7 linked regions of the Oryzias latipes genome follow. The protein of the gene in region 1 purifies or fractionates together with the protein of each later gene. This does not show direct contact. Links are inferred from orthologs where the notes say so. Each region holds a gene or a part of one and is shown in the gene's direction. Other genes may lie near its edges.

The links.
Region 2: the proteins of stx12 (region 1) and vamp3 purify together in Homo sapiens (affinity purification with mass spectrometry; 3 studies listed by BioGRID and IntAct, counting the BioPlex papers as one, with this or other methods). This does not show direct contact. The link is inferred for Oryzias latipes from reciprocal best matches to the Homo sapiens genes STX12 and VAMP3.
Region 3: the proteins of stx12 (region 1) and snap23 purify together in Homo sapiens (affinity purification with mass spectrometry; 3 studies listed by BioGRID and IntAct, counting the BioPlex papers as one, with this or other methods). This does not show direct contact. The link is inferred for Oryzias latipes from reciprocal best matches to the Homo sapiens genes STX12 and SNAP23.
Region 4: the proteins of stx12 (region 1) and napg purify together in Homo sapiens (affinity purification with mass spectrometry; 3 studies listed by BioGRID and IntAct, counting the BioPlex papers as one, with this or other methods). This does not show direct contact. The link is inferred for Oryzias latipes from reciprocal best matches to the Homo sapiens genes STX12 and NAPG.
Region 5: the proteins of stx12 (region 1) and snap47 purify together in Homo sapiens (co-immunoprecipitation; 3 studies listed by BioGRID and IntAct, counting the BioPlex papers as one, with this or other methods). This does not show direct contact. The link is inferred for Oryzias latipes from reciprocal best matches to the Homo sapiens genes STX12 and SNAP47.
Region 6: the proteins of stx12 (region 1) and vamp7 purify together in Homo sapiens (affinity purification with mass spectrometry; 3 studies listed by BioGRID and IntAct, counting the BioPlex papers as one, with this or other methods). This does not show direct contact. The link is inferred for Oryzias latipes from reciprocal best matches to the Homo sapiens genes STX12 and VAMP7.
Region 7: the proteins of stx12 (region 1) and syntaxin-6 purify together in Homo sapiens (affinity purification with mass spectrometry; 4 studies listed by BioGRID and IntAct, counting the BioPlex papers as one, with this or other methods). This does not show direct contact. The link is inferred for Oryzias latipes from reciprocal best matches to the Homo sapiens genes STX12 and STX6.

What each region holds. Positions count from the first base shown.
Region 1 is NC_019869.2:17,750,391-17,755,017, reverse strand, and holds the start of stx12 (syntaxin-12), read left to right. Parts: upstream 1-1,349; 5' UTR 1,350-1,465; exon of another isoform or gene 1,466-1,482; intron 1,483-2,028; 5' UTR 2,029-2,067; coding exon 2,068-2,164; intron 2,165-2,609; coding exon 2,610-2,679; intron 2,680-3,478; coding exon 3,479-3,578; intron 3,579-4,037; coding exon 4,038-4,175; intron 4,176-4,605; coding exon 4,606-4,627. UniProt on the Homo sapiens protein: SNARE promoting fusion of transport vesicles with target membranes. Together with SNARE STX6, promotes movement of vesicles from endosomes to the cell membrane, and may therefore function in the endocytic recycling pathway.
Region 2 is NC_019863.2:28,591,231-28,596,020, forward strand, and holds the start of vamp3 (vesicle-associated membrane protein 3), read left to right. Parts: upstream 1-1,648; 5' UTR 1,649-1,756; coding exon 1,757-1,758; intron 1,759-2,668; exon of another isoform or gene 2,669-2,795; coding exon of another isoform or gene 2,796-2,797; intron 2,798-4,790. UniProt on the Homo sapiens protein: SNARE involved in vesicular transport from the late endosomes to the trans-Golgi network.
Region 3 is NC_019880.2:4,943,234-4,947,405, reverse strand, and holds part of snap23 (synaptosomal-associated protein 23), read left to right. Parts: intron 1-269; coding exon 270-384; intron 385-3,176; coding exon 3,177-3,218; intron 3,219-3,468; coding exon 3,469-3,517; intron 3,518-3,874; coding exon 3,875-3,992; intron 3,993-4,172. UniProt on the Homo sapiens protein: Essential component of the high affinity receptor for the general membrane fusion machinery and an important regulator of transport vesicle docking and fusion.
Region 4 is NC_019875.2:4,618,128-4,622,299, reverse strand, and holds part of napg (gamma-soluble NSF attachment protein), read left to right. Parts: intron 1-545; coding exon 546-563; intron 564-1,494; coding exon 1,495-1,525; intron 1,526-1,609; coding exon 1,610-1,719; intron 1,720-1,885; coding exon 1,886-1,952; intron 1,953-2,027; coding exon 2,028-2,098; intron 2,099-2,207; coding exon 2,208-2,286; intron 2,287-2,773; coding exon 2,774-2,853; intron 2,854-2,959; coding exon 2,960-3,089; intron 3,090-4,172. UniProt on the Homo sapiens protein: Required for vesicular transport between the endoplasmic reticulum and the Golgi apparatus.
Region 5 is NC_019875.2:28,044,754-28,049,326, reverse strand, and holds the start of snap47 (synaptosomal-associated protein 47), read left to right. Parts: upstream 1-1,760; intron 1,761-2,094; 5' UTR 2,095-2,111; coding exon 2,112-2,608; intron 2,609-2,727; coding exon 2,728-3,230; intron 3,231-3,569; coding exon 3,570-3,694; intron 3,695-4,573. Other genes in the region: jmjd4 (jmjC domain-containing protein 4), read right to left, coding at 1-53, 320-587, 670-795, 886-1,051, 1,136-1,388. UniProt on the Homo sapiens protein: Plays a role in intracellular membrane fusion.
Region 6 is NC_019868.2:26,863,141-26,867,079, reverse strand, and holds the start of vamp7 (vesicle-associated membrane protein 7), read left to right. Parts: upstream 1-1,139; 5' UTR 1,140-1,359; intron 1,360-1,754; 5' UTR 1,755-1,789; coding exon 1,790-1,935; intron 1,936-2,042; coding exon 2,043-2,100; intron 2,101-2,225; coding exon 2,226-2,363; intron 2,364-3,939. Other genes in the region: DNA-directed RNA polymerases I and III subunit RPAC2, read right to left, coding at 638-676. UniProt on the Homo sapiens protein: Involved in the targeting and/or fusion of transport vesicles to their target membrane during transport of proteins from the early endosome to the lysosome. Required for heterotypic fusion of late endosomes with lysosomes and homotypic lysosomal fusion.
Region 7 is NC_019862.2:1,649,498-1,653,669, forward strand, and holds part of syntaxin-6, read left to right. Parts: coding exon 1-59; intron 60-158; coding exon 159-253; intron 254-1,790; coding exon 1,791-1,850; intron 1,851-2,198; coding exon 2,199-2,327; intron 2,328-2,404; coding exon 2,405-2,511; intron 2,512-2,517; exon of another isoform or gene 2,518-4,172. UniProt on the Homo sapiens protein: SNARE promoting movement of transport vesicles to target membranes. Targets endosomes to the trans-Golgi network, and may therefore function in retrograde trafficking.

The sequences.
Region 1 (4,627 bases):
GAAAAAGGTCTATTACCACAGGCACCACTGTCACCTTCACTTTCCAGGCTTTCTCCAGTTCTTCTCTGAGTCTCTGGTATTTCTCCAGTTTCTCATGTTCCTTCTTCCTGATGTTCCCATCACTTGGCACTGCCACATCCACCACAACGGCTTTCCTCTGTTCTTTATCCACCACTACAATGTCTGGTTGGTTCGCCATTACCATCCTGTCAGTCAGTATCTGGAAGTCCCACAGGATCTTTGCCCTTTCATTCTCTATCACCTTCAGAGGTGTTTCTCTTTTTGACTTTGAGGTTTCCAGTTCATATTCTGCACACGTGTTTCTGTATATTATTCCAGCCACTTGATAATGGCACTCCATGTATGTTTTCCCTTGCAGCATCTTCAACCCCGCAGTTATGGTGTAAATGGCGTACACTTACAGTATATAGCGCTTTTCTACCTACAAGGCCCAAAGCGGTTTACAAACACAGACCCATTCACACACTGGTGGCGGCAGATTTATAACTGTAAACAATAAATCCTTGTTTATTTCTGAATAATGGTGTGTGTTTTGTCTATGACTTGATGCGTACTGATGGAATGCTGTTATCATACAATGGGTTTGTAACTAAATACAAAATTAAGGATTCTAGTAACTGTTATAGCAAAGTCTGTTAAGCAATTACCATACCTTTACTTAATCTTATTCATAACATATTACAATACAATGCAATCAAACCACAATTTCCAGAATTAATGGAAAAGTTAATGATATTCCCCTAAAAGATAAAAAAGGCAACAATAAACTCTAACCTTTAAACAAATAATTTTCTGCAACTTTAGCATAAACAATGAACGCGACTTAGAAACCACCCTAATGGACAAATCTTTTTCTTTATACACAAAGTACCCACTTCCACCTAAAATGAAAGAAACGCATTTTAAAATAATATCTAAAATTTACCCTGTTGGAGATTTTTTACATAAAAGATTCAAATTTCAATCAGAACCACGCATATTCTGTTCATCTGAAACTGAAACGTAGAACATCTCTTTTACAGTTGCAAAAATATTTTGGACTGATATTCACAGTTGGTTGTCACTCAAAGTTTTAAATATTCCCTTTTTTTCCTTATCTGATGTTCTTTTCTATATGAAAAATCTGGACCCGGGAATTTCTTTTTTTTCTATATGCGCATTTATAACGTTTGTTCACCCTTACTTGGTCTGTATGAGCATTTAAAAAAAACAAAACAACAAAAAACAACGTCATACCGAAATGTCACATACCAGGAAGTCGAATGCTCAGTTTTGATTGGTGGCTCACTGGACCCGGGCACGCTACAGCGTTTTGATTGGTGGTTTGGTTTCAAATGCGTGACCTGATTGGTTGTCAGAGGAAGTAGGGCTCGGTGATCTCAGCTGAATCCGGAACCAAGCCCTGATCGAAGGGCGAGAATTTGTTTCTTCAGCTGAATCATATGCAAGTATAAAATAAACGTCAGTTACCTTGTTTCGTAGTTTCAAATGTCGATTAAACGCTATTTTAAATATGCAACGCAACGATTTCATCGTTTATAATCTAACGCTTAGAAGTTAGCACGTTTAGCTAACACGTTAGCATCGTTCCGCTACGTGTTGTTGGGAATGTCACTCTGTGATGTAAAATTCCGTTAGCAGAACGTCGCTCTGGTAACATTGTTGTGGTTATACTATCAATATGTTAACGTTGCGGCTTCATGTTTGTCTATAAGTCAACATCTGCTGGTTAGTTAAATAAGCGTACGGGTCTTATGGTGTGCGTCATGTCAAAAAAAAAAAGCAGCGAAATCCTAACAGTTCTGTATATACTTTACTAGTCTGTATTATAATTTTGTGTGATGATTTTAATAAATGTCAGCTTTTTAGTCTGTGCGTTTTAGTAAGTTTTGAAGCGTGATTGCATTCTCCCTCCGACCTACATTTGGAGTTTTAGATTGAATTATTCATGTTAAATAACAGTTTGTGGCCTTTTTCAAATTTCCTTTTCTTTTTTTGCATGCACAGTTTTAGCTCAACATCAAAGCCAAGCCTTCCGCCTCAAACATGTCCTACGGTAAAGCGGAGTTCCGCCCTGTCCCGAGGGACTTTGGCTCCCTTATTCAGACATGCAGCTCCAACATCCAGAAGATCACACAGAACAGTGAGTCCTCCATTGCTGGGAGCTGAGACTCATTGTTAGTCACTGGCTCAGGAAGAAGTCATGTGAGAATGCTTACAAGAATCGTGATGATCTGCTGCTTAACTCAGGCCTGTTCAGGGGGGGAGATCCAGGTTAAGCAATCACATGGCTAATTCATCACAAGTGCTTCAGGAAAATACACTATTCTAAATGTTCAGGTTTGCTTCCTTTTTGAGATGTGTACAGTAAATAAGTGCTTACATTCTTTGGTACAAAACTCACAAATTAAGTTGCATTTTCTGCTGTCTATACAAGAATGGACACTAAACTATTTCTTAGCTCGTTTGCTTCTGCGGTTTGGATTGGTTTTTGTGTTTTTTTCTGTGTTGTTGTTTGATATCTGTGCACACAGATGATCCCTGAGTAAAGGTTTTGGAGATTAAGATTGTTTCTGTTTTCCTGACAGCCGCACAGATTAAGACCATGGTGAACCAGCAAGGGACAAGGCAAGACTCCAGTGAACTTCACGATCGTCTGTATGTCATCATTTCTTGTTTCATTTTTTTCTACCAGTTTTAATGAAAACACAGGCAGATGGAGGTTTTCTAGCTGGTTAACATCTGATGCAAATATCAGTGTTATCTTTGTTGGTAATAACCTCCTAATGAGGCTGAATATGAGACCAACACTGATGCAATTATTCAATAAGGCACCCTGACTTATGTTTAAGACAATATGAAAAAAAAAACTAACACAGCCAGTTTGCTTTACATGCATTTCTTGCACACACTGTTGTTAATCATATGTATTGAGAAGTAAAACCTTTAAAATTGTTATAATTCAGGCTTTTTGGTGACAAAATTTGGTTTCAGCTACAAAACCTACATCTACTGACCCAGGAGTCCTCCTGCTTTGCACATTTAAGTGATGCTGTGAGACCAGGAAGAGGTTAAATGACTGTTGCTGGTGGTTGTGGAGTAAACTTCAATAATCTCTTTTGTCTTCTGCGACTAAATGAATGTGTCACACTTTTTGATGGCGTGTTTTCACTTTGCAAAGAATTTTAAAATTTTGATTTATTTCAGAGCTGGTAGAAAAGCTCTATTATTTGATTTAAAAAAAAATACTAAGAAAATTAAAAATTTCAAGCTTTATTTGAATTGAATTGACAATAAAAGCAATTTACAGATGCATTAACAGTAGTGCATTACACATTGAGTGTGCTTTAGTGTGGAGCAGAATGGCTGGGACTGTAATAGCCTGAATCTGGGAAGCAGCTTCTTCTTGTGGCTGATGTTCAGTCCTGTTTTTATTGATGCACAGTTTTCTCTGCAGGCAGCAGATCCAGCACTACACTAACCAGCTTGCGAAGGAAACCAACAAACACCTTAAAGAACTAGGCTCTGTCCCTGCGCCTCTATCCCCCTCTGAACAGGTAAGTGGGAGTTTGTTGAAACGTCTGCATGAAGACCAAATCCTGAGTTTTTACCAAAACTGTCTCCCCTGACTGCAGTATTCCAAACACGGTGTGCAGCAGTACTTCAAAGTATTTTTGCAGCAGAAAGGTTTAACTGGAGGGAGATGGTTTGCTGTTGTGACCTCTGAAGTGATCAGATATTAGTAAAAGAAGGCGATTCTTGTAGTTGAGATTTGCTAATTTTTTGTTTTGTAAATTTTAAGCAGGAGATGAAAGCCGAGTTTATGTATAAACGATACAGAGGAAGCAGGGATTTTTCCTGAAAATCTTTAGGAAAAAATAGGAGTTAAGTTACAATGTTGCTGCTTGAATGTTGGAAAGTGATTGTCAGGATTGAACTTTAAAATCTTAACCGTTATCTAAATGCTTTTTTAAAAAGTGTCTCCTAATGTGCTTTGGGTGCTCTGCTCTGTCCAGAGGCAGCAGAAGATTCAGAGAGACCGGCTCATGAGTGATTTCTCTGCGGCGCTCAACAACTTCCAGGCGGTTCAGCGACACGCAGCCGAGAAAGAGCGGGAGTCCATAGCCAGAGCCAGAGCGGGATCCCGCCTCTCAGTGAGTGAGACTCAGGAATGGATTCACACAACACCAGGAAAAGTGTGGAAAACAACCACAATATTCCTTATTTTTCCTTTTACCTGTTAATCATCAGCATTTTTTCTCCTACTTAGGATTTTAATTGTCCTATTTTGAAAAGTCCCATAACTTATCTGATGATTCATCTAATCCAAATCCAGTTGTGTATTATTGTGACTATTTGAAGTCATGAAAGGTAGAAAAATCTTGTTTTATCAGAGCTGTAAAAATTTTAACATCCACAAATGAAATGAAAAGTTTAGACATGCTGTGATTTAGCAGTTTGGGGTGAAGACAATGGTTTTGTTTGTAGGAACAGTCTAAATGACATAAAACCACCCGTGTTTCTTAAGGGATGTTGTTTCTTCAACCTGCTGACTTAACTGGAGTCTTTGTGTTCTGTTTCCAGAATGAAGATGGTTTTCGGGATG
Region 2 (4,790 bases), on another chromosome or scaffold:
TGAACTCAAGGGCAGAGAGGCGCCTGATGACTGTACAAAGAGAGGCACCTCTGTCTTCAATGGGGATAAGGTGTAACTTAGTCAAGCATGTCAGTGGGGCATTTGCCAGTGATCCTACACACCAGGCCTGCAAAGCCATTAACGCCGACTTTATCTTACTTCATGTGCCTGCTCCACATATCGCATGGCCAACAGAGAAAGCTTGATTACCCATTTATCCAAACATGTTACCACATATATAAGTAAGTGCTTTGTTGTTTATTTCAAGTCTGTTCATAAGTCACTGAAATAAAACTTTCTGTGCGTTAACAGGAGGAGAGTCAGAGCATGCTGCACAATGGAGCTGCTGCCACCAAAGAAACAATCACTGTAACTTCTAACTCTATTTTTTTAACCTTTAAAATATGGATAAACATTTGTGTTTAAAATAAAACTAAAACCTCTGCATTGATTTAAAAAAAAACTTCCCCCCCAGAAACCAACTGAAGCTGCAAAGGAAGCTGAGGTTTTTGAAGGATCTGGAACGGAGCCAAAACGCAAACCACCTCAGTTGAGAAACAGCAAATAGACAAACCACAACCTTGCAAATTATTGCAGCTAGCATGTACTCTTGATAAATCAAAGTAGATCTTTCAACAAGTAAAAAAAAATTGTATGTATATATATATATATATATATATATATATATATATATATATATATATATATGTATGAAATGATCAATGTATGAAATGTTATTTTGAAGCAAAAACATTAAGAAACCTGATTGCAAGAATTAGTGTGTGCAATGAGAGCTGGAGATGTCTGCATTTAGTCTGAAAATATAACGCCTTTTTTCAGAATACCTGAAAATAGACTATTATTTTTTCTAACTAAAATAGATTTTAGTTTTTTAAATTTTTTTCTTAATCTAGAGAGACATGATCCATGTCCATTGTTATTGTGTGTACCTGAAACTGATTCAAACACAAGTTATCTCGAACTTCTTTTATTCAAACTTGTGATGTTTTTTCTTAATATCTGTTATTCAATTCACAAGTGATCCATTTAGTTTCTGCGTCTGTCTTCTTTAATGACTATTCTATTTCTCTGAGCATTTTATAAAATAAAATTGCTTTGTGAACAACTACAGGCAGCTAAAGGAATTTTTGTGTGTTTTCCTGTCACATGCTGATCATGAGCTTGTCGTTGCTTTCTCCACACATTACACTCTATGATAACAAACAGGAACACAGAGATTTAATTTTTTATTGAGTATTGAGATTTTGTCTAAACAAGGATACTGGACCTTTTGAGTTCTTGAAATCTGATCTTGGGGTGAGGGGGGAGGGTGTTCCGTACTTCAAAATGTAATTTTTAAGACTGTCTATACTACACTGAATTAAATGTTTTATTTTTATTATTTTTAAATCCAGTAAACAATTACTACTTTACATCTGTTAGGGGTAGAAAGAAGAATGGTTGATCAAATAATTATATTTCTCTGCAAAAGTGTCTGTTTGAACAAGCCCAATAACGTTTTTATGTTATGAATTATTTTTTATCTTTACCACATCTCAGTTTTTGTAACCATACAACCATTTGAAACGGAGTTTCTTGAAATTAGTCAATCTTGAACAATAATTCTCACTGTTTGGTATTTCCCGTTTCCGACGACCCTGAAGGCAGCATTTCAAACGACAGCACTAGCTGTTACGGCGGAGAAATAACTATCGAGAAACAGCGGCGGTGTCGTTAAAACACAATAATCTTCATCATGTAAGTCTATAAACCTGTTTTCGTAGCTTTTGAAATATTTTCAACCTAATGTGTGTCGTGTTACCGTTTATGAAACGCCGAAAAGAGAACGCCCTAAACTTTGCTCCTAGCATGCAACAAGTGCTAAATAGGTTAGCTCGTTTTTTCTCTTCTGAAAGTAATGAAAGCTAAGCTAGCGTTAGCAGTCGCGCGCTGTTGCTACTTAAAAGTCAATTTTTGGGAAAACTTTCATCGTTTTTTTAGGTGGTTAAGAACTTATTAAACTTCTTTTATTCAAACTTGTGATGTTTTTTCTTAATATCTGTTATTCAATTCACAAGTGATCCATTTAGTTTCTGCGTCTGTCTTCTTTAATGACTATTCTATTTCTCTGAGCATTTTATAAAATAAAATTGCTTTGTGAACAACTACAGGCAGCTAAAGGAATTTTTGTGTGTTTTCCTGTCACATGCTGATCATGAGCTTGTCGTTGCTTTCTCCACACATTACACTCTATGATAACAAACAGGAACACAGAGATTTAATTTTTTATTGAGTATTGAGATTTTGTCTAAACAAGGATACTGGACCTTTTGAGTTCTTGAAATCTGATCTTGGGGTGAGGGGGGAGGGTGTTCCGTACTTCAAAATGTAATTTTTAAGACTGTCTATACTACACTGAATTAAATGTTTTATTTTTATTATTTTTAAATCCAGTAAACAATTACTACTTTACATCTGTTAGGGGTAGAAAGAAGAATGGTTGATCAAATAATTATATTTCTCTGCAAAAGTGTCTGTTTGAACAAGCCCAATAACGTTTTTATGTTATGAATTATTTTTTATCTTTACCACATCTCAGTTTTTGTAACCATACAACCATTTGAAACGGAGTTTCTTGAAATTAGTCAATCTTGAACAATAATTCTCACTGTTTGGTATTTCCCGTTTCCGACGACCCTGAAGGCAGCATTTCAAACGACAGCACTAGCTGTTACGGCGGAGAAATAACTATCGAGAAACAGCGGCGGTGTCGTTAAAACACAATAATCTTCATCATGTAAGTCTATAAACCTGTTTTCGTAGCTTTTGAAATATTTTCAACCTAATGTGTGTCGTGTTACCGTTTATGAAACGCCGAAAAGAGAACGCCCTAAACTTTGCTCCTAGCATGCAACAAGTGCTAAATAGGTTAGCTCGTTTTTTCTCTTCTGAAGGTAATGAAAGCTAAGCTAGCGTTAGCAGTCGCGCGCTGTTGCTACTTAAAAGTCAATTTTTGGGAAAACTTTCATCGTTTTTTTTAGGTGGTTAAGAACTTATTTAAAATTTCAAAATATATAATGAAGGACTATCTGTTAAGTACGGTCAAGTTTATGTTTCTGTTGAACCGGTCTGTCTGTCTGAAGTCGGCCTCGCTTCTTCTAGTTAGCTGCCCATATTATATAGTTTAACAACGCAATATCAATATCACATACATTCATAATATGCGGATTACTGCTAGTTTGGAGTGACAACAACACAATATCTTGCTCTCTTTGTTTGTTTGTTTGGTTTTTTAATGTACCATTTTTTATTTTTAATAATATAACATCACCGATGTCTACTATAAAAAGCATAAATATAGGAGCATAATAATTAGGATAAGGTTTGATGAAAGTCAGACTTGTTTGACATATTCATGAACAGAGTTGGGGAACGGTGACTGACATTCAAATTTAATTTAATTTCAGCAGTAGAAATTCTCTGGAAGGAGATTTAACTAAAATACAACTTTTTTTGTAAGTTAATATTAACTTTGGATGATGACCTCAATAATTATTATTATTATTATTTTTTCTATAAAAGATGAAACGGAGCGTTTTTTAAACTGTTGCTTGTTTAGAAAAAACAAATATGAGGGACATATTATTTAAATAATTGTTCGTTTATCTGTTTATTTAACAGGGATATTGTGCATTAAAAAACATCATAAAGCTATTATTCATCAGTAGTCCTTGGACTGGTACCAACCTTGTCTTCCTTAAAACTATGTGAAATTTCCAGCAAAAATACAACATGAACAAAAAGTAGAATTATAGTATATAACAAGCTTGCAAAAGAGTAAAAATGCAATATAAATAAATAAAAAAGAGCAGTATAAACAATATGTAAAAACTAAATACAAATATAATAGAACAGTAGGAATTGATAAACATCTTAAGTGGTAACAATACAATGATAATTTAAAACCAGGAGAGACAATCACAAGCACTATACAATCATAAAAACATTGTTTCTAACTTGTTGACATTTATGATGGCATGGTTTGATTGAAGAAGGTAAACAGGCATTATTTGTGGGAGCGTCTTGAACCAGTTCTTAAGATGTTTTTGAAACAAATTTTGTGACGACAGTTTGATTGAGTTCTATTCCTCTTGTGTCTTTTCCTTTATTTTTGTGTTTACATTTTATTTGTTTGACGACTGTATCTTTTAGATAAACCAGTATATTTTGTCATGAAATAATCCCATATCATTATCAAATCTTGTCTGGTTTTAAGAGCTCTCCCGTGTTTGTGGAGCTTTTTTGTTACTTAAAAGAATAATACCCTTTACACTGATTATTGTTTGTATCTGAACAACCAAGTATTAAAAAGAATATCCTCCCAAAAGATCTCTTTGCTTGTGGAGGTGTTTGCTTTACACTAAACGTTCTTTAAAATGCTGTATTTCTACAAATCACTTAACCAATGTAAATATTTTAAGTACAATTAAACTGTAAAAACCTAATCTTTCACTAAATTATTTCCTGAAGAGATAGTTCTTGCAGCAATGCTCAATTCATGACTGATGTGCTGGTTTCTTAAACACTCATGACCTCAGATTAAAATTCTCCAAACATTGAAACTCTATTTCTCCTATCTGATAATTTCAGAGGAACCCTTAAAGCAACAGTTTCAAGTTATTTCTCTTCTGTTTAAAAAAAAAAGTGGTTCAACAGTGGGCCACATCAAGAAATAATTTTTAAAAGCTGTTATCAGTAAAACAACCAAAATGTTTGACAAAAAAGTCTTG
Region 3 (4,172 bases), on another chromosome or scaffold:
CATTGCCTGGATTTGGGAGCTACACGTTTTTCAACAGAAATGTTTATACTATTTTCTCTGGAGCTTTGAATTTTAAGTCATGTCATTCAAATAAATTTTCCATTAAAACGTCATTAAATTCAAATGTTTGTCCAATCCATTCACCTTGTTTTTTTTTCATCATCACCCATAGTCCCCTGCTCAGCAGTTGAGAGTTGGTCCTCTTTGTCTGCTTTATGGTAATCGATGGGATACTAATTAGTACCTGATGACCTCTGGCCTTCTTTCAGGCCTCAGCATATTGAGCTCGGTGCCACGGGAGGAGCCCCCAAACAAGACAGCAGCAACATGGAGGACATGAGTGTGGAACAGATGGCTCTGAGGGCCAACCAGCTGACGGATGAGGTGCTGACTCCTCACACTCCTGCTCCTGCTCCGTCCCTCTGTTTCTTCTGTTTCTCTCTGGCTACAGATTTCTGTATTTAATGAGCAGCCTGTGACAGCTGAGTCTGATTTTTCATTCAATCTTAATGTTTAGATGATGCATGAATGCAAAAAGCGGTTGGAAATCATTCCGTTTGGATTAGAAACGCCGTAAAATATCATTTTTATTGTTAAAAGCGACATTTTTTTCAATGTTTTTAGAAGTTTCTAATGTAACTGAGGGTAAACGGTTTAAACAAAGCGTTGCTCTCTGTCACCTTACACGATCTCTGTGGTCAGCCGTTGCATCCAACGGCCAAAGCTGCATAAAGAACAGGAGTTCAGGTCTCAAACTCCTGCAGTCCGTCTAAACGAGCTGCATCAAAGGCTTTTCTGGTGGGGGCGCCGAGACGTGACCTTCATCTCTGAAGCAAAACTCAGAGATTTTCTCCAAAAATGAATGTTTCAGCAGCTTAGAAGTGTGGAAGATAGACGAACCCCAAACTCTGACGCTCATTATTAACACATGATTATCTCATTAGTTCAGTCTGTTCAGCCTAATGGATGTCGTATTTAATAATGAACTCATTTATCTTCGATAAGGATAACTGGGAAAGACTTTTCCTATATGTTCAGGTTGGACAATAGTTTCTGTAATCCTGTTATCGGTGAGGGAGAATCGACATCTAAAATGTTTTAGCCTTTTAGAAAGAGCCTAAAAGAACCCGTGTTGAGACATCGCTTCCACTCAGCGTCTGATAAATGGATGGAGGTTACAGGACGCGTCGGAGGGATTCTTCCTGCTTCAGTCTGACGGCTCCCTCTGCGATCCGTCATCTTCCAGTAATTACTGAATCGGCACTCGAGGGCATCCCGCCGTCAGTCAGCTGTTGCTCTGCACCTTCATGCAGCTCACACTGGTTGATGTTTGTCTGCTTCCTGACTTAACCTGCACCTTTGCTTCTATCTCTTCCCTCTTTCTGCTGCCGCCTGGTTTATTCAGGAGATCATTCAGGGGACCTGGGAGGGCCCCTCTGCTAATTCCACTTACCGCTCGTGCTTTGGGTAAACACTCGGAGACGCTCTGACCATGGCTGACAGTTTATCAGGACAATCTCAGATAAATGGCAGCTGGAGCTCAAATGTAAAAAACCAAGTGGCCAACATTTTCTGTCTAGTTCTAAAGTTAAAACATGTGATTCATCCTGTTGAGCTGCAGCCATCATTTTCTTCTTTTCTTCTCTGACAGTCAACTAACATCTTTTTTTTTAACAAACTGTCGTTTTAAGCTGTGATTTGTCTGAGTTCAAGTAAAGGAGGTCACAGACTCTCGGTCGGAGTCGCAGCTTCGCTCTGCTTCCTAACAATAAGAGGCGCAGAAGGGCGGGGCCCACCTGACCTGACCGCATTCCTGCATGTGCGCTGCGGTCGTCAGGCTTTAGGCTGACAGTCAGAGATCCATGAACGTCTGCTCTGGAAAGACATTTCCATAAAACTCTGGTCTAATTCAAAACAATCAACCATTTGCTTAGTATTTTTCATCATTTATTCAGTTTGTTACTCATTTCTTCTTATGTCAAACGTGTCAAATAGGAGAAAAGCCTGAAGTAACAGGTCTTATTTATGCAAAAGTTGAACCATTTTTTACTTTAAATCTGTAAACATTTCTGAACAGGTTTTATTACAGGAAGTTGACTTTTATTCTCCGTTTTAAAGTAAAAAGAAAAGTAGGACTGAACTTTTATTTGTACTCTTAGATGCAGTTGCTGTTTTTTTCTTTATAAATAACTGAAGTTGACGAGGCCCAGTCTCATTTTTATTCATTTGTAAATGAAACGGATGAATTTCCTGAGACTCTCAGAGAAAATATTAAATTCTATTTTACAGTTCATGATTCAGTTCAATACCGTTTTTACTGTCAATTATTTGAAACCAATTTGATTTTGATTATAAAAGAAAACAAATTTCACAGAACTATTTATATAAATGAAATAAAAGAACAATTTTCATTAATGAAGTTGAGTTTTTACATTAAAAACTAAGTGATCGTTTATTTTTTGTACACACAATAAAAACAAAAGAACTTGTTTGAAATGAGGACATATTTTTGGATCTGATTACTTGACGTTGATTCTCTTTGTTGATATCATTTATTGTTTTCCCCCCTCTAGCTCTGATGTTGTTAAATAATTTTAAAACAGATATTTTTTGTTTACTTCAGGTTTTTTGTTCTTTAAAAATACTTTTAATATGTTGTATATTTTAGGAAACATATTTTTATAGATGAATAAATAAATGCTTATAATTTAATAAAACAAGTTCTGAATGTTCATAAACTGTCAAAATGCAAAAATCAACCTTTTCTTTTTTTAAACAGCATTTTGAATTGGGCTTTGTTCAAATTAAATGATACTTTGTACTAAATACTTTGTAAATACTTACTTACTTTGTAAATACTTTGTTTTGTTGTTCATTTCCTTTATTTTAACTCAATCTATTTAATCACCTCTTTACCTTCAAATAAAAATCAAATATCTCAGTAAATAAAGCAAAGAGTTAAAAGAATAACTACGTTTGAGTGTCTGTTTACATCCAGTCAGAAGCGTTTCAGCTTGGAAGGATTAGATGCGTTTTTGTTTTTGACAAAGACGACTGAGAGCTGCGGCTGGACTCCAGCTGCAGTTTATGTTTGATTCTTTTATGTAGCACAGAATCCCGTTTAGCTGGTGATCCTTTTTCTCTCTTTCAAACTGCTGCCATGTTTTCTCCTGCAGTCGCTGGAAAGCACCCGGAGGATGAGGCAGCTGGCGGAGGAGGTGAGGCTGCTGCTGCTGCTGCTTCTCTATGAGCAGAAGTCACTCATGGTGGACAAGTTGGCGTCTTTTGTTTCTCCTTTCATCAAATAAATATAGAGTTCAGTTTTATCCTCTCAACCTTTATGACACTTAAAGCGATGAACGTAATTGGAAAAATGTTATGCCTATTCATATTTGTTATTTCAAATTTCAAATCAAATGTCTTTACTCTAAATCATCTCTGAAGGATTGTTCATTTTTTATTTTATAGAGCCAAGAGACTGGGGGCAAAACTCTGGATATGCTTGATATGCAAGGAGGTAACGCAGCATAAACATTTGTTTATCATGTTGGAGAATAGAGACGGTCCTGAACAGAATCTTCCTCTTCTTCACTTCAAAGTTTTTGCTCTTTGATCCTGGAAGCAGATCTCAGGATTTCAGGGTCTGCTTCCTGACCATTTTGTTTAAAAAAATATATATATATTCACTAGAATTCAGAAACATACTTTACAACAAAAGTAGAAACGCTCATTGGTTCCTTTAGCTTTAGACGTGTTTCTGAACTGAATTTCTTTTAGCTTTTAGCTCTGATGACACAAAAACTGGATCCATTTTTGCTCTGCAAGCTGTTTCCAACAGCAGAGATGAAGATGTTGAAGTGTGTTTGTGATTCAGAGCAGCTCAAAAGAGTAGAGGAGGGCATGGAGCAGATCAACGAGGACATGAAGCAGGCCGAGAAAAACCTCAACGACCTGAACAAGTGCTGCGGCCTCTGCACCTGCCCCTGCGACAGGTACGCCGCTGCTGCTGCCGGCGCCGCCGCCGCCACTCAGAGTGCAGGAAGAGTCCTGTTGGATTGTTGGACTGCATTCATGCCAAATGTTGGAATCAGGAAGAATGCTGCACGCGTGCTCACATTGACATGTTTTGCAAAAGCGGAACATTTCATTTATTCATTAAAGCAGAATCTGTT
Region 4 (4,172 bases), on another chromosome or scaffold:
AGTGCTATATAAATAAAGATTACTTACTTACTTACTTACTACAATCCAAGCTCTTAATACTGAGTGTCAAGCAGGGAGGCATTCATTAGGTCCCATTTTTAGGGTCTTGGGTATGTCTCAGCCTGGATTTAAACTCATGACCTTCCAGTTACAGGGTGGACACTCTACCACAAGTCCACTGAGCTGCATAAAGACGTTTATGGACTAAAAAAACACAAGTTCAATAATCACAATCATTGCTATATATGATATGATATTATTTGCTTTAGGACATTTTAAAAGGGAAAAAAAAAGATAAATCCTGGAATAGTCGTCATGCCCTAATACCAACCCAGTGCAACCCTGTTCCCTCTCAGAGGAGCACATATTCAGTTTCAGATAACTATTACACATATTGAGAAATACACACCCAGAAACTTTTGTTATGTAAAAAGACTTGTTTTTTTTCATTTTAATATTTACAGATGTACCACAGATTATTTAGTTTCTGCATAAAACAAAGACACGTATGTGGGGAGGTGGTGTTTCCTTAACTTCCAATTCAGGCTTTTTCATGCTGCAAAGTGAGTATTTGTTTTTTTTCATATCCCTCCTCTGACATTGAACACACACACACATATATACCAGTGACGTGCGGTGAGGTTAATGGCTGGTGAGGCACTGACGTCATCAGTCAGATTTACAAACATATGAACCATGAGTATAAATAACTGAGTAACTTATTCACCATTTGATTGACAACAGTTAACGTTTTGTTTAAAATATAATTTCAACATGTTTTTTTTTCATATACAAACTGCAGCATAGAAAAAAGCACAAACGTTATTATCGTCTTACCTTTAGTTGTAAATAAAGTCCATACGCCGCTCCTTCTGAAGAAAATGACTTGCCGCTTGCTATCACTTCTTCTAGTATTTTTAGCGTCATAATCTCAGGGCTCACCGGCGCCCCCTAACATGAGGCACGAGAACTGCAACATGAGGCACGAGAATGTCTGGCCTCACCCAGCGGCTTTTTCGCCGTCGTTTAGCGCTCAGCACAAGAAACACGTCCCTCACATACAGTTATTTATAAAAACAAGCACTGTGCATCATATACATCTGCTAAATTATTTAAACTCAGCTCATATAGTACAAGTGATTGAACCGACATACAGAGAGACAGCAGTACCGTCTGACTGCATAGGTATTGCGCAATCCAAGGTGAGGCTCAGCGGGCTGGTGCCTCATCGCAGGTCACTTAGTATCTGAACGGCAAATGCGGGAATTCAGCGATTTTGAAAAGAAAAAACACCCAAAAATGGTACATTTAAATGGAAAATGACCGCAAAGCACAACTTACTGATTAAATATAATAATTGAATTTATTTTTTCTCTTTTCTTCCCATAATGACAGGTGAGGCTGTGCCTCACCTGCCTCTCCTGACTGCACGTCACTGATATATACATAAAAGGAAAACTTCAATGTTTATTTTAAGTGCTCCTCTTTTTCCAGAGCTATTGAACAAGCAGGCATGATGCTGAAGGTGAGTGAATGCTGGGAAAGCCTTAACAACCCCGCGGTGCGTTCGCTGTCCCGTTGTAATTCCCCCTCATTTCTGCTGCAACAGGAACAAAAGAAGATGCCGGAAGCCATTCAGTACATAGAGAAGGCATGCATGATGTACATGGAGAACGGGACTCCCGATACTGCTGCCATGGCTCTGGACCGCGCTGGAAAGTAAAAAAGAAACCTTTTTTTTGTTGGCATGAGTGGAATGCTTGAATACTCAGCAGAAGTTTAGTTATTGTTAACGTGGAAATAACCAAACTGTTGCTCGTCAGACTTTAGTGAAAAAAGGAACCCTCAGTTGACTTTGGAACTTAAAATTAGTCTTCCCTTTCAGACTGATTGAGCCTATTAACCTGGAGAAAGCTGTTGACCTGTACCAAAAAGCAGCTGGAGTGTTCGAGGTAAGAACAGCTCAAGAACTGCATCAGCTCTCTGATTATGTTTTGCATCCTCATACCTGCTTGTTTTGTGTCCAGAATGAGGACCGCCTGCGTCAGGCTGTGGAGCTGCTGGGGAAAGCCTCCAGACTTCTGGTTCGGTTAAAAAGGTCAAACAAACCAGAGCCAAGGAGATTTTGGCTTTTTCTTCCTTCTTGTAAATAATCATTGCAGAATAACCCTGGTCTGCTTGTGCTTTGGTTTTGTCTGGTAAACCAGGCTGGACGAGGCTGCAACCGCTCTGCAGAAGGAGAAGAACATGTACAAAGAGATTGAGAACTTCCCGATGTGTTTCAAGGTGCAGCAACTCCTTGTTTTGCTATTTCCTTCCCTCTTCTCTTGGCTATTGTTGTCTCAGAAATGTCTCGCAATACATTCACAACTGAGATTCAAGGATTTAGCTCAAGAAAGGATTGGAATGTGTTATCAAATTATTAGCGAGTTTTTGAAAGCAGGGAGCAACACATCGCATTGTTCTACGTCAGCTGGTCAGTCAGCATTGAAATGTCTAAATCAGATCCGTCTTAACCCTTGTGCTATCTTGTGGGGTCCAGATGACCCCAGTGGGGTCATCTGGACCCCACAAGATAGCAAAAGGGTTAAACATCAGAGCTTCAAAACTACTGGTTGAAGCAAGTCCTGATTTTGATAAACATTCTATGCTTTCAGAAAACACGTATAACAATTTCAGAATCATGCGATCCTGATCACAGACCAGTGCAGAGATGAATCTAAAGAAAAAAACGAGGCGTACCTGCTGAACCTGTGTTTCCCCCCCTCTGTAGAAAACCACGGCTCAAGTGCTGGTTCACCTTCACAGAGGGGACTATGTGGCAGCAGATAAATGCGTCAGAGAAAGTTACAGGTACGACTCCAGACGTTCATGGACGTCTGGTTCATGTTGACTTTTCTTCACGTTCGTGTGTGATCCTGTTGAAACTTAACTGGACTCCTGCTTTAATATCCCCCAGTCTGCCTGGCTATAGTGGAAGTGAAGACTGCGTTGCCATGGAGACACTGCTACAAGGCTTTGATGAGCAGGATGAAGACCAAGTTTATCGCGTGTGCAACTCTCCATTGCTGAAGTATATGGATAATGATGTAAGTTTTGATGATACATTTTTCTTAAATAAGCATGAAGATATTGTCTTTTTTTGTTCTATAGGACGTCTTATTACGATATTACAAGGTTTATACATTTTCTACAGTTCCATCCTAATTATGATCCATCCTTTTTCCCAGTCTGCCTTTGATTTTCAGATGAGAAACGTTCACAAATGAGAACAGTTTCTCTATTTGGTGTCATTTTGAGCCGTGTGACTGTTTTCTTTCCTACGTGAACAGCAGCTATGAGCTGCCATCTGCATCAGTGCCAGAAAACTTTGAAGCTGCTGCTTTTCCTGTCAAAGTTTCCATGTTAGGTGTCTTTCCAACAGAGAAAAAGCTGCTCCTCCCCTGCAGCTTCTTGATGCTGCCCTCACTTTATAACCTACATCTGTTAGGTTGTGTCCAAATTCCCACCCTAACCCCTAACTACTAAAAAACTAGATGTTGTGACCTGAATTTTAAAAGCAATTTGGACACCATGCTCACTTTTTTATGTATGGAAGTTTTTCTGGAGCATAATTAAAAATAAAAGTCAAAACCAGAAATGCTTTTTCATTTTCAAAATGAAGCTGCATTTTTTGACTCAAAATTAAAATGAAAAAGCAATCCACCTAAATGCTTTTTCATTTTCTTCTTCAACATTGATTATTCTGTCACTTAATTAAAACGATAAAGAAAATGGTGTTTGACATTTAATTTTCAAAAAGTTCTCTGGTAAATGTGTAGCAAAATTCATTTAGAAATGTCTAATTTGACAATTAAAATGCATTAACGGAAATGCTTTTCCATTTTCAAAATGTAGCTGCATCAAATGACTCAAAATTAAAATGAAAAATCAATTCTTCAAATTGCTTTTTCCTTATCTACTTAAAAAACGCTTATTTTGTTTCATAATTAAAACGAAAATGCAAAGAGGGGATTATATTTTCATTTTCACATCCACCCCGCAAAAAGTGTAGCATAAGTCAATACCAGTCAGCATTTCTAGGGGGGGGCGGGGCGATGACGTCAGTGCTCACTCGGTGTGGCTAAATGCTCTTCGCGAGCAAAGCATGTCTGATCAGTGCAGCCGGACTC
Region 5 (4,573 bases), on another chromosome or scaffold:
ATATCAATGTTGCAGCCATTTAGCCAGTTGTGATTAATGGAGATGGTGTCCTCCTGGGACAAAAAACAAACAAACCTGCATTTAGAAGAACACGAAAAGGCAGAGCTGCTGAGCCTTGCTGCCACACACCAGTAACCATGATGATTAATTTGATTGTCACTTTTGTTATTTTGTTGTCTTGTTTGCTGCTGCAGACAAAAGAATGTCCCCATCGTGAGATAAATAACGGCTTGTCTTGTTTAGGAATGCACAAAAAATAAACCCTCTTTAATACAATATTTCAAATTTTAAAATGTTTGATATATTTGACAGTCCTCACCAGATTATAAACTTGATGGTGCCAGCCACTTGGCACAAACATGATTTCCCCAGCCTCCTGAATGATTTCAAGAGGCTGGCAGGCTTCTTCAAAGCGCGGGAAAAGACCGCTGTCACGGAGCTCAGCCGATGTAACGTCATAGGGTAAGTTGCCGTGCGTGTCTCGTAAAAAGTCCTCCTGACCCGGAGGATACAGGAGCCACTTCTTTCTGCCGCAGATGTTTGCAGACCAGCTGTAGGAGCGGAACACATCGGCGTGGAACGGGGTCCTGGTGAAAACAAAACTCAACGTAAGAAAAACACGCCTGACTGACGCAAATTCTACTGAGACTTTGTTGGATTTCTTCCTACCACGACCCTTTAGGGCCCATATAGACGAACCGATAGTCATCTACTTCAAGTGTATCCCAGTATTCATTAAGCCAGTCAGAGGAGAAGAATACTGGTGTTGAATAAACACCATGTTCAGGAAAGTCTCTGTTGGACATTTTTAATGATTAATGCAGATCGTTTGTATAGAATCACATACATCAGCAATTCTCAATGTAAAACTGAGACACAGGATACCTTGCCATGTGCCAGTCTTTCAGATAAAGACATCCTTTCCGGGATGAGTGACCGTTCTGGACGTATTCCTTCCAATAGTGTATAAACTCTTTAAACTGCATCACTTGTTTGGGGTTTGCATTGTATTCCTTTGCATTACAGTTTGCAACAGGAACTAGAGTTTCATCTGATATTTCAAAACAGACAGGCATTAGCTGACATACACTATATATTCATGACGTCATCACAACAACAGTCTTAATTAATTTACCAAAGTCTTGGAGCAATTTTTGAAAACTCGGCTTCCCCTCCTCTGTTACCCACTGCTGTCTGCACTTCCAGTTGTCTGTGAACTTTCTCGAAAACACGCAGGGCCGGTTGGGCAGTAAATATTTCTTTAAAAATTTCGAATAGTTGATGTCCTTATCGATGTAGTCTACGAAGTGTGAGGACCAGAACTGCTCATAGGACTGCCGGGGGATGCTGACCAGGCTGCTGCAGTAACGGTACGCCTCTCTGTCCATGATGGTAAACAAAAGCTCGGCTAGCTAGTTAGCAAGCCCGGCTGGCATGTTAGAGCATGGAACTGAGATAAAGCATCAAGACTGGGTTGTCATCAGTAAATATAATATATGTTTTGAAATCTAATATGTAATCACAGTGAAGTGAAACCTAAAAAATAAATAATCAATGGTTTTACTAAACGCTATTCCACTCGTGTCTTCCATTATTACAAGTCGCCATAAAATTACCGCGTTTCCTTGCGTCACTAATAGATCGATTATTTCATTTCCGTCATGCTTATGACGCAAACATCTGTTCATTTACCGCAAATTAGCGCCCTGTTTTGAGCAATTATTGTGTCCATAGCCTTGTCGTGCGCGAGTTCAATTTTCTAGTCGGACAATAAACACAGCCGTGCTAGATCGTGACGTCACTTCCGTAGCAAATAGGATCTGGGCAGGAAATAAAACACATGTTCCCATCCAGTGTTTACGGTTGATATTTTGTAAAAAGGTTTACATTTAGCAAATGAAAAAACATTGAAACATTGCTGTTTTCGAATAGTTTATTTCCCTGTGCGTGACGACTAAGTTAAGGCGTTATCTGAGGTCCTCTTCTGACGGGATTACACACGGAAAGAAGGATGTTTACACTCCAACCACTGAAGTGGATTGACTAGATTATCATACGTCGTAAATTTATTTGGGATTTTTTTTTCTTTTTTAGTTTAATTTTGTACTAAAATGAGTCGAGATTTCCCCATCCACAACTGGCCTGGCTCCTACTACATCAACAGTGAGAAGAGGTGGGAGACCGGCACCCTGTCCCTCACCAGAACCACGGTGCGCTTCGTCTCCAGCCAGAACGGGGAGAATCTGGCTAGTTTCCGTCTGTCCCGGATCACGGAAATCAAGATGGAATCTTCCAGCTTCATCTTCAGCACCCTTACAGTGCTGGAGGAAGGCAACACCAAGCACTGGTTTGGTTCCCTACAGCCCAACAGGGTTGTAGTCTATAACGTGTTGGTGCATTTCTGGAGGGAGCGCCTGCTGTCGCCTGGCTCTGAGAGCCAAGGGGCTGAACCCCATCCCACTAAAGGCAGAGAGCTCATCAGTCTGATGGCCGGGGCTCAAAGAAGACTGGAGGACACGGGTCAAGTCCTCAGCCATCAGGGAGAGCAGTTTGACAGCATGATGCAGGGGCTGGAGAAGATTGACTCGGACTTAGGAGTGGCTGATAAGTAATTAATTCAAAACATCTGTTTTATTGATTTGTTTTCTTCCCTTGTGAAGTGATTTATTTATTTATTTTTGCAAGCACGTTTTGTTTTCTTTGAATATAACGTGACTTGTCTTTCAGACTCCTCTCACAACTCGAGGTGCCCTCGTGGTGGCCTTTCGGAAAGCTTCCCTGGAAGGCCGCACAGGAGGCCAAGGCTGAAGATGCTGCAAGAGCAGCAGCTGTGGCGTCCTCAAGCGGGACGTCGACCAAGAACAAGGTGATCGCGAGCATCCCGGCAGTGGTGTCCAGAGGCGGAGATTCGGACTTCAAACCTGGATGTTTGCTGGTGCTGGTGTCCTCCATGGAGGTACGGGACACCAACTGCCACCTCCTTCACCGATATGAACGGAACGAAGTTGATGAAATCAAGGTGTACAGTCCATATGAGATTACTGTTCGACAACGGTTCATCGGAAAACCAGATATATGTCACCGGTTCCTTTCTGCTAAAATGCCAGAAGCAATGTCCGTGTTGGAGATGCAGTACAAGAAAAAGGTTGAATTCACAAAAGAATACACATCATTCAAAGCAACTCCTCTGTCATCTCCATGCGATAAAGAAGGGACAAGCTTGAATGACGGTAAGGCACTTTTTTATCGTAAAGTCTAAAGCTGTGGATATTTTGACCACTAGGTGGCAGCAGAGATTTTTTATTTTTTTATTCTAAAGTCTAAAGCTGTGGATATCTTGACCACTAGGTGGCAGCAGAGATCTTTTCTTTTTTTTTCTTTTTTTTTAAACTGCAAAGGTGCTGCCACATGTAAAAACATTTCGTCATCTTTGTTAGTGTTTTTCTTTAAACGTGTTTAGATGATTCACTTCAGCCCAATTGCCTCACTTGTTGAGTTGAATGTCTGGTTTCCTCACAAACAACACATGCACTCTGCATTTTCTTCATCACCTCCACCCATGGAGTCAGTTTTTCTGCAGAGGTGCCAAGAGACTGAGGTCCCAGTGGAGGTCCCAGCAGGAGAGCTGTCCCAATTGCAGGTGCATGTTCTCCAGCCATCTGTGAGTCAGGCTGAGGCCCAAGAACTCAAGCAGGTAAGACAGTTCTCGATGGGTCCACAATGTACAGCAGCATCAGGTAACAAATGAAAGTGTCCTTGGTTGTTATTGTAAATAATCTCTTTGGTTCGCCCAAACTCTGTTTTTTCCAAACCCACAATTTGATTTTCCTTTTTTTTTGATGCCGTATGTTTAAAATGTTATTTGGTGAGACCACAAACCAGCGACCAATCTGGTTTTAAGAGAGGAAAAGCGACAGGGTGAGTTATTTGGTCAGACTTTACTGCACCTTTCCAGCTAGAACCTCACAACTGGGAGAGTAGTTACAGACACAGTCTGTGGTGGCAAGACCTGCGCAGTGACGCAAATGAGATTCTAAGTATTTTTTAGATATAATTGTGACTCATGCGGCACACGTGCGGAAGAATGCCACCCAAATGCCCGGTTAATGCCACCCAAACGTATTTTTTTAAGGCAGAGCAAATCATTTTGAAGTGTAGAAGAGCTCAATTCTCTGGATAAACTGAGTTTTATACGTTTTGCAAATAAATTCTTTTGTTTATTTTACACACACAAGCCCATATTATGTCAATCCCTCATATTAAACACTAAAAAATGTATTTGACCAGTTTGTTTGAGAGAAAACTTTACATTTCTGTGAAAAGTGCCGTGTTTTAAGACAAGCTTTGCAAATACTGTGTCTGCTGGAATAAATGAATGTAACCCAAATTCAGTTTAATGGAATTATTATCAATATTTAACATGTCGTAGTCGCATTTTCACATGATGGAGGACGCATAAAAAATCCTTTTGGATTAAAACTGCGTTTATGAGTATTTCTTAGGAGATAACAAGCCACTGATGTGACGCAGCAACTTAAATGAGCACAAAGTCCCTGCTTCGCTCTGTTCTGAT
Region 6 (3,939 bases), on another chromosome or scaffold:
TATAAGTGAATCTTGAAACATTTTAGTGGGTTTGTTGCTGAAAAAAATACAATTGAGAGCCATATTCCTCCTACAACAGTGTTTACATACATTAATTTGTACTCCATGAATATTGTTTCTCTGTTTTAGTGATCTTTGAGACTATGGACGTTTAACTTTTTTATTTTAATATAAATTACAAAAAACAAAAATCAGTTGTTTAGTAGGGACTTGTGGGACTATAATATATATATTTTTAACGTTTAAGTACATTTTAGTTCACAAATCTTAAGTAAACACTGCTTGTTTTAAAATACTGCCCCCTAGTGGGGATAAAAGACATCGCAGGATTTTGACCAAGTAAACAATGACATGTAGTAACACACTAAAATATAAGCTCAGTTTTATCAAATAAAACATGATTTTGGTTTCTTTTTAAGTAATATAAATTAACAAAAAATGTTTATATACGAGTAAAAGGGATTTTCTTATGAACAGACACTTCATCTTCCACGTGAAGTCTGCAGCCGGGCGGTGGAGAAAGCTAGCATTAGCTTCTTCGATGTGTTATTATATATTTCACCTACACAAACTTTAACCAATATACAGTTAAGTATCTAAATAACTGATCAAACAAAACGACATTTTCTTATTTTACCATTTCCAGTTTGGGTTTCTTCTCGCCATCCCCGGCCATGCTTTTCACGTCGCTCGCACTGCAAAGTATGAGCTTTGTGTTTCTTCCCCTTTATTTTTGACTTACAGGCTGAAAATGAAAGTGTCGCCATGCTGTTATTATTCATTAATAACTGAACCCGCTTGGTTGGACATTTATTCCGACTACAACCCTAAGAATAAATGTTTTATTTAGTCTGCCATAAAGAGATATGTCGATTTGAAGTGATGACACAAATAAATTTTGTTAAACATAGACATACAAAACATGCAATTAAGAAAAGATAAACGGATCGAACTTAAATTAGGTTGGTGATGAAGTACTACCTTTCACTGCGCTAAAAAGTAACATTCCTTAACATTTAATTTGCAAATGCATTCAATTTAGCGTGTAATCGTAGCCTTTAAGGCTAAACTGAGGGGAATTCCTAAACAGTTGCTCTTACGCATGAAAACATATGACGAAGACACATCGTCATTTGTAGTTTAGGGAAGTGTAGTTCAGAATGGTAGAAGAGCAGCATTCACTGTGAAAGAAATTGCAAAAAAGAACTACATTACCCAGCGTTGGTCAGTGTGTGCTTCCGGTCCAAAGGATCCGCAAAGCAGAAGTCACTCGAAAGGGATTAGCTAGCTTGCTAGCAGCTGACACATTATAAATGTGGGAAAATAATTAGCTCGTTTGAGTGGCGCTGACACGTTAAGGTATCGTTTTGTTTTGTTTTTTTGCAACAACGTTTAACTTACAAACAAAAACTTGAACTGACACTTTGATTAACATTTTGGTCTTTTCGTTGACGCCACCACTGTTCCGTGTTTATTTCAACATTACTTACTACGCTAGCTTGCTGCCGAATCAGTCTTTGTTTTTCCCAATGATTTATACCACAATAACACGCATAGGGATGTTGGGTGTAATCGTTTTTAGTATTTTTTTGTCTACAATACACAATTTTTTTCCTTTTCTTTCTAACTCATCTTAACGGAATTCCGGTGGGAGGGAGGGAAGGCGGGTGGGGGCATTTTTGTTTTACCTGAGCTCCACCTACCAAAAAACAACAACAACAAAAAGCTTATTCCTTTCCTTGTTTATTTGACAGAAAACTAACGTAGCGGAGAACCCAGCTGTGTTACCATGGCAATCCTGTTTGCTGTGGTGGCTCGTGGAACCACGATTTTGGCCAAACATGCTTGGTGCGGGGGCAACTTCCTGGAAGTCACAGAACAAATTTTAGCCAAAATCCCCTCAGAGAATAACAAACTGACCTACAGCCACGGCAGGTACGGTCCAGTTTGCTCCTTCATCTCAATAATTGTCATTATTTTGCCCACAATCAGGGCTAGTTTCTGGGAACGTGTAACTGATGGTGTTTCTATTTTGTTTTCAGTTACCTCTTTCATTACATCTGCCATGACAGAATCATATACTTGTGCATCACTGATGATGTGAGTATCTTTGGACTTTTTATTTTGTTTTGATGTTCAGCAATAGTTGGGAAGGATGTGACACTGGCACAAAGCTTTAAATACGTGTAGTTGCATTTATCGTGATTGAATGTTTTCTGTTAAAGGACTTTGAAAGATCTCGTGCATTTACCTTTCTTGGCGAAGTCAAGAAGCGCTTCCAGACGACGTATGGCTCCAGAGCTCAAACCGCCCTTCCCTACGCCATGAACAGTGAATTCTCCTCAACGCTGGCGGCTCAGATGGTGGGTTGAGCGTGACAGATTTCCTTAGAATGCCATATGACTTTTTTTAGAAGAAGAAAAAGACTTTTGCTTTAGTCATAACCAGAAAAGCAAACTTCTTCTATTTTTTTTCCTATTTCTTTTGGTTTTAGTTTCGTTTTTCCCCCAGAGTAGTTAAAAACGTCCTTTTTCTTTAAAAAAAACCCTTTTCATGTCAATTTCAGCTTTGTATAGTCAACATATTGACAAATGGGTTTCAACTTCCTTCTCTACAATCGTGGCATGTACAAAAAGATCAGCAGATGGTCACATGACCACTCTGGCATTTTAAGTACGTTTTAAAGTCAACCTTTGTCTGCTGCATTTGAATCTGTATCATTTGAATTATATCTGAACATTTTCCTGACCTGTGCAGCATAGAGATACAATTATCTGTCTTTATTAAGAATTTTCATGGAAGTGCTGTTTTAGGGATGTTTGGTATTTGAGGACAGACAAATATCTGAACCTCTAATGTATTATTAGCAAGGGTTTTCCAGTGTTAGTGTTAAAAAAAACATTGTCCTTTATTTTCCACCAAATATCGAAGTGATATGGTCGAAGGAGTAAAAAGTTTTTTTTTGTTTTTAAAGGAAAAATGAGTGCAGATTTTCAGTGTTCCTGTGGGGTGTAGGTACCATAACCATTCGGCCTGCAATAACCGTTCGGGGTCCTTCGAAGAGTGCTGACGTCACATTATGTGATTGGATGTCTGTTGGTCCGATCACGTGCAGTTTTTAAACTGTTGCAGTGAAATAGAAATGATGTTTTAGGTTGTTTTGCTCTTTGTTCATACACCACAAGTTATATCGTCATCGCAATATCAGATAGTGATTGGTCTGGATAAATTACGATACTAACATAGAAGAAGATATTATGCGGTCCGTTGTAAACATACAGAGCTCCGACACAGAGAAAGATTATCTTCTAAACGTGCTTTTGGTAATATTATGATTAGGCCTGCACAATATATCGCAAATTTATCGTTATCGCAATATCAAGCTGTGCAATATGCATATTGCAAAAGACGGCGAAGATCGCAATAAATGGTTACCTTAAGTATGCTAAAACAATCTGATGGCAGTATTTAACGAAGCAAAAATAATCCCTTTTATGTTTTTGACCAATCGGATGGAGCCCTTTTGTGTTAGATGTTCGTCTCCTATGTAGATGTTGGTCATTTGCAATGCAGTTTTTAAACTGTTGCAGTGAAATAGAAATGATGTTTTTGGTTGTTTTCCTACACCCCAAGTTACATCGTCACCGCAATATTAAGTTTTCCTCATGACATGTAGCCCTAAATATTATTATTATTAACTGCATTGCAGCTGAACAGACTGCGTTCTGAACTCTTCTCCGGACCGCACACTATAACAAAGCAGCTTCCCAGCCTGCGAACACGAAGCTACGAGACTCCAGCTGCTCTGCTCAGAGACACGGTTCACTCGTGTGGAGCAGCAGGTTCATTCTAACAGCCACAGATCTTTTTACAAAGTGGCTTGTGGCAAAATATCTCTGTAAATATTACAGAGAATAATCTCAGACACATCTTATGAGG
Region 7 (4,172 bases), on another chromosome or scaffold:
ACTCCGGAACAGCCTGCGCTCCATTGAGTGGGACCTAGAGGACCTGGATGAGACTGTCAATATCCTTTAAGGCTCACTCTCTTTACACCTCCCTGTTTTTGGGGTTCTGGGATTGGAGCTCAGCACAGAGAAAGCATGTTCCTTAACACATTGCAAACGCATAGTAGAGTCAAACCCAAAGAAGTTTAATCTGGATGCAGCGGAGCTGTCAAAGAGGAAGGCCTTCATCACCAGCACCAGACATATGGTCAGGGTAAGCCTCCGCCACACCTCAGATGTGAACTCGCTTTGGGAGGAACCCCAAACGTCTGCAGCACGGTGGTCTGGTTCCCTTCGGTTTGGTCAGTCTGGTAGTTCATTGAAATAGTTGAAGACCAATGGCTCCTCCAAGTACAGCCCTCAAAGATTTTAAAAGTAGAACTCATCACATCTGGAGAGAATGGTGGCCTGACGCTGGGCAGCATAACAGACCCCTAAACTAAAAAGATGATCTTTACTGTTCAGCTGTTTGCACACATAATGAATGATTATCCTTTAGAAAGCATCCCCTCCACAGGAACACATTTGGTCTGGAAAGGTTTGGTTTGTTTTTTAATAGCAGCAAAGACATCAGTGGGATAATGTCACGTGTCACGATTCCCTAACAAGGAATACTTATTCTAAACAAAACAACATGTTACAGCTGTCTGAATGGTGGGCCTGACAGAGTAAAGAGGGAGTTTTGTTGAGTCCATCTAAAAACAAAAAACAATACAGAAAGGAAGGCCTTCATAAAATCAACTTCAGTGATTTTACAAAAAATAAAGCACAAAAGATCTTTCAGACAAGACGGTAAATATATATTTTTAACGTCTTATTTTAACACTATATTTAACTGAAAGCTGATTTAGTTCTGGGGAACTGCAGCTTTTTCAGGAGTGCTTCAGATTTACGAGGGGGGGGGGGGGTGCTATAGCACAGTTTACATCAGAAATCTAACCATACATGCCCCATTAGTTATTTTCTTAACACGGATCAGTTGTCTTGGACTCCTCCCCCCTGGCGCTCCAAACAGGAAGTACCCGCTGGTTTCAGGAAGTCCCATAGAGCCTATAGAGAACTAAACAGCTGTTATTCAGTCATCCTATTGGCCAGAAGAACCATTCTGGATCTGATACCTTTTTTAACATCTTCTTGATAATCCAAATTTAGTATTTTGTATTTAAACTTATTCAAGTTACAAACGGACCAATCAGATGCCTCAATAAAAGTAGGAGGAGCCTGCTGGCCCCCAGGTTGAACGTTTGACAGATTTTCTGTAGCTCACGTTTAAGTGTTTGGTGTGAGTGGTTACCATAGAAACGATGACTCAGACCAATCACTGCATACTGTTCCAACATGGTGGCGTTTGTGTTGGGGAAAAAACGTCAACAGAAGGAAGTAACCCATTTTCTGTAGATGACGACACACTTCTCACTCCTGTTCTCCTAAACAGTCAATAGTTTTGAGGGTTTTTAAACTTCAAACAAAAACTTTCATCACTTTGAATCCAAGCTTTACTATAAGATATTCTTAAGTGACATGAGAGGACAAAGAGAACTTCTTATTTCTGATCAAAATTTAAAAACCTGTTTACACAGAGTGCCATATAATTATATCCAACTTTTTTTTCATAAAATACATTTTTTTAGTTCTGGTTCATCGCTGTTGTTATAAGAGTGAGACGCCATGACCAAGTTTTCTGTAATGAACCATAAATCCATGTATGTGACGTCTTCACTTCGTGACATAGTCTGCCGTTTCTTTTCTAGGAGATGAAGGAGCAGATGTCGTCTCCAGGAACGGCTTCCTTGGACGGGAAGAGCAAACAGGTACCAAGTCTCTCTCCTGGTTAGACAAATGCTACCTTTGACAGAGGATGACATCATGAAACTTTGTCCTAAACTCCAGTACAGCGCTCCCTCGTTTATAGCGCGAGTTACAATCCCCTGCTATAGTTGTCATCCACAAAGTGGGGGATCTATTTTTTACAATAAGCACAGATGCTTGAAGGCAGTAAAACTCCTCACTACAGACTTTATCCCTGATATCTCTCCCCTGTTTTGTCTCTCATAGTTGAAGTTTACATTTGAAGGCAATTACAGGCCTCTGAACCCACACATTTAATGGCTGATTGAACACTTCTGTTGCTCCACTGTATGCTTTTCTTTTGTGTTCAGGCTTTGCTCGGTGAGCGTGGAGCTCAAGGACGCATATGGCAGCCCGGTTCAGACAAATACCGCCGTCTTGACCATCAGCTGCAGAGCGCCAACAGTCAGTTCATTGAGGAGGCACAGGTGCAGCAGCAGGTACAGACGGACCGAGAACAGATGGGGGCATGGAGGTGATGCTGAGCCCAGACCAAACGCTGGTGTGTGTGTTTCAGCTGATCGCAGAGCAGCAGGACGAACAGCTGGAACTGGTGTCTGGGTCCATCAACGTTCTCAAGAACATGTCTGAAAGAATCGGCGTGGAGCTGGACGAACAGGCTGAGTAAGAACCACAAGCTGACCCTTTAAACACATTAATGCCAAATATGACATCACCCATTTGCCAACGTCAACACCTGATAATGGCTGACCGTTTATGAATCTGCTGTGTTGTGATGGTGAAATTGTGGATTAATTATAAAAAAATAAATGTAAATACTTTTTTTAATTAAAAATAACAAGTCGTTCAAATGCAATGCATTGAAGTCTTCCAGATTTTGGAATAGTAGATTTGCCCAGCACTACAGAAAGTGCACTGTGTAGAGAGCAGTGAAGGAGTTCAGTCACAGTCTAGGGGTCTTGATCAGTGCTGCTCACTCCTGGTCGTCCTACCACCCCGTCTAGAAAACCCAGTTTTCTACATCTCTAATCCCTGCTTGGTTAACTCAGTCAGGTGCTTCCACATTCTGATTGAATAAACACACCTGGTTCAGGTAAAAGGTAGCATGATTCGGTTCATTTAGAAATGAAGGACTCAATGTGTTGCTGAGAGCTTCAAGACTTACCAGATAACAGCTGTAACAGAAGCTCACTTCAACAGCATATAAACAGGTCAACTTCGGTACTATATGTGTATTACACAGCAGATGTTAGAAGGAGCCACAAAGTTAAATTGTTGCCACAATCAAATAAGGGAAAAATAATTACAATTTTGCCCCTCTCACGATGCCGTTGTGGAAAAAGGGCTCATCAAAATCTGGTTTTGGTCCTTCTTTGCCAAATTCTAGTTGTTAAGCTATAAAGACAGGAACTGTTAAATAACAAATTTCTTGTTTTATGGTAATTGCACATCATGTTCTTATTGTGAAAGGGCCGGTTGGATGGGATGGGTCGTTGTTGTGTTGATGATGGTGGAATGAATAAAGAAAACGTTACGCTGCGAAGTGAATTTCAATTTTGTTTAACATTGGTAGCAGGGGATGATTAGCAACTACAGAGTCCTACAAACCTTTGACGAAGGAAAACCGTACAAAAGTTGGAAAAAATAAGTTGGACCCGAGTTACAGACCTTGAAAAGAAGAAGCAAGCACTCTCCGTTCCTTTGGCGCTTTCTTCTGGGCAAGCGAGAGACGTGGCGATAGAAATATCAAAGGAGGATTTGCTCAAGGACACAGGACACGTCACTAATAAAGCTAGATGATCGGTTTCTCAAAGAACAAAGACCGGACCTACTCAAGTTTGGATAACGAGAGACAGTAATGTATCCGTGACGGATTAGATAATTGATTTTGAACAGCGGTATACTCAAATGTGTACATACAAGAGGGATCTTCCGGATGCAGTATGAGCATTTTGTTATGTGTGAATAGATTTAGTGTCTCTTGGATGCTGTGCTTGCTGAGTACAGCAAGACTCATCTCTGTCAGCAAAAGAAAAAGATCTGCTCACGCCCAAGATTGGACAAATTCTCTGGGTTGCAAGGCAGAGTCGACCAAAAGTCTTGTTTGATGCTTTAAATCCATGAAACGAATAGAACGGTGTGCAAACTGAAATCCAGTGAGGTGGCTCTGAACTTTGAGCTTCTAGGCAGGGACTCAGCCCTCAAGATGAGGGTGTTCAGTGATGCCTCATTTGGCAATCTTTCAGATGGAGCCACTCAAGAAGGAAACCTGATAGTTCTAATGGGAGAACGTGGAAAGTTTTCACCGCTCCCCCTCAAAGAGA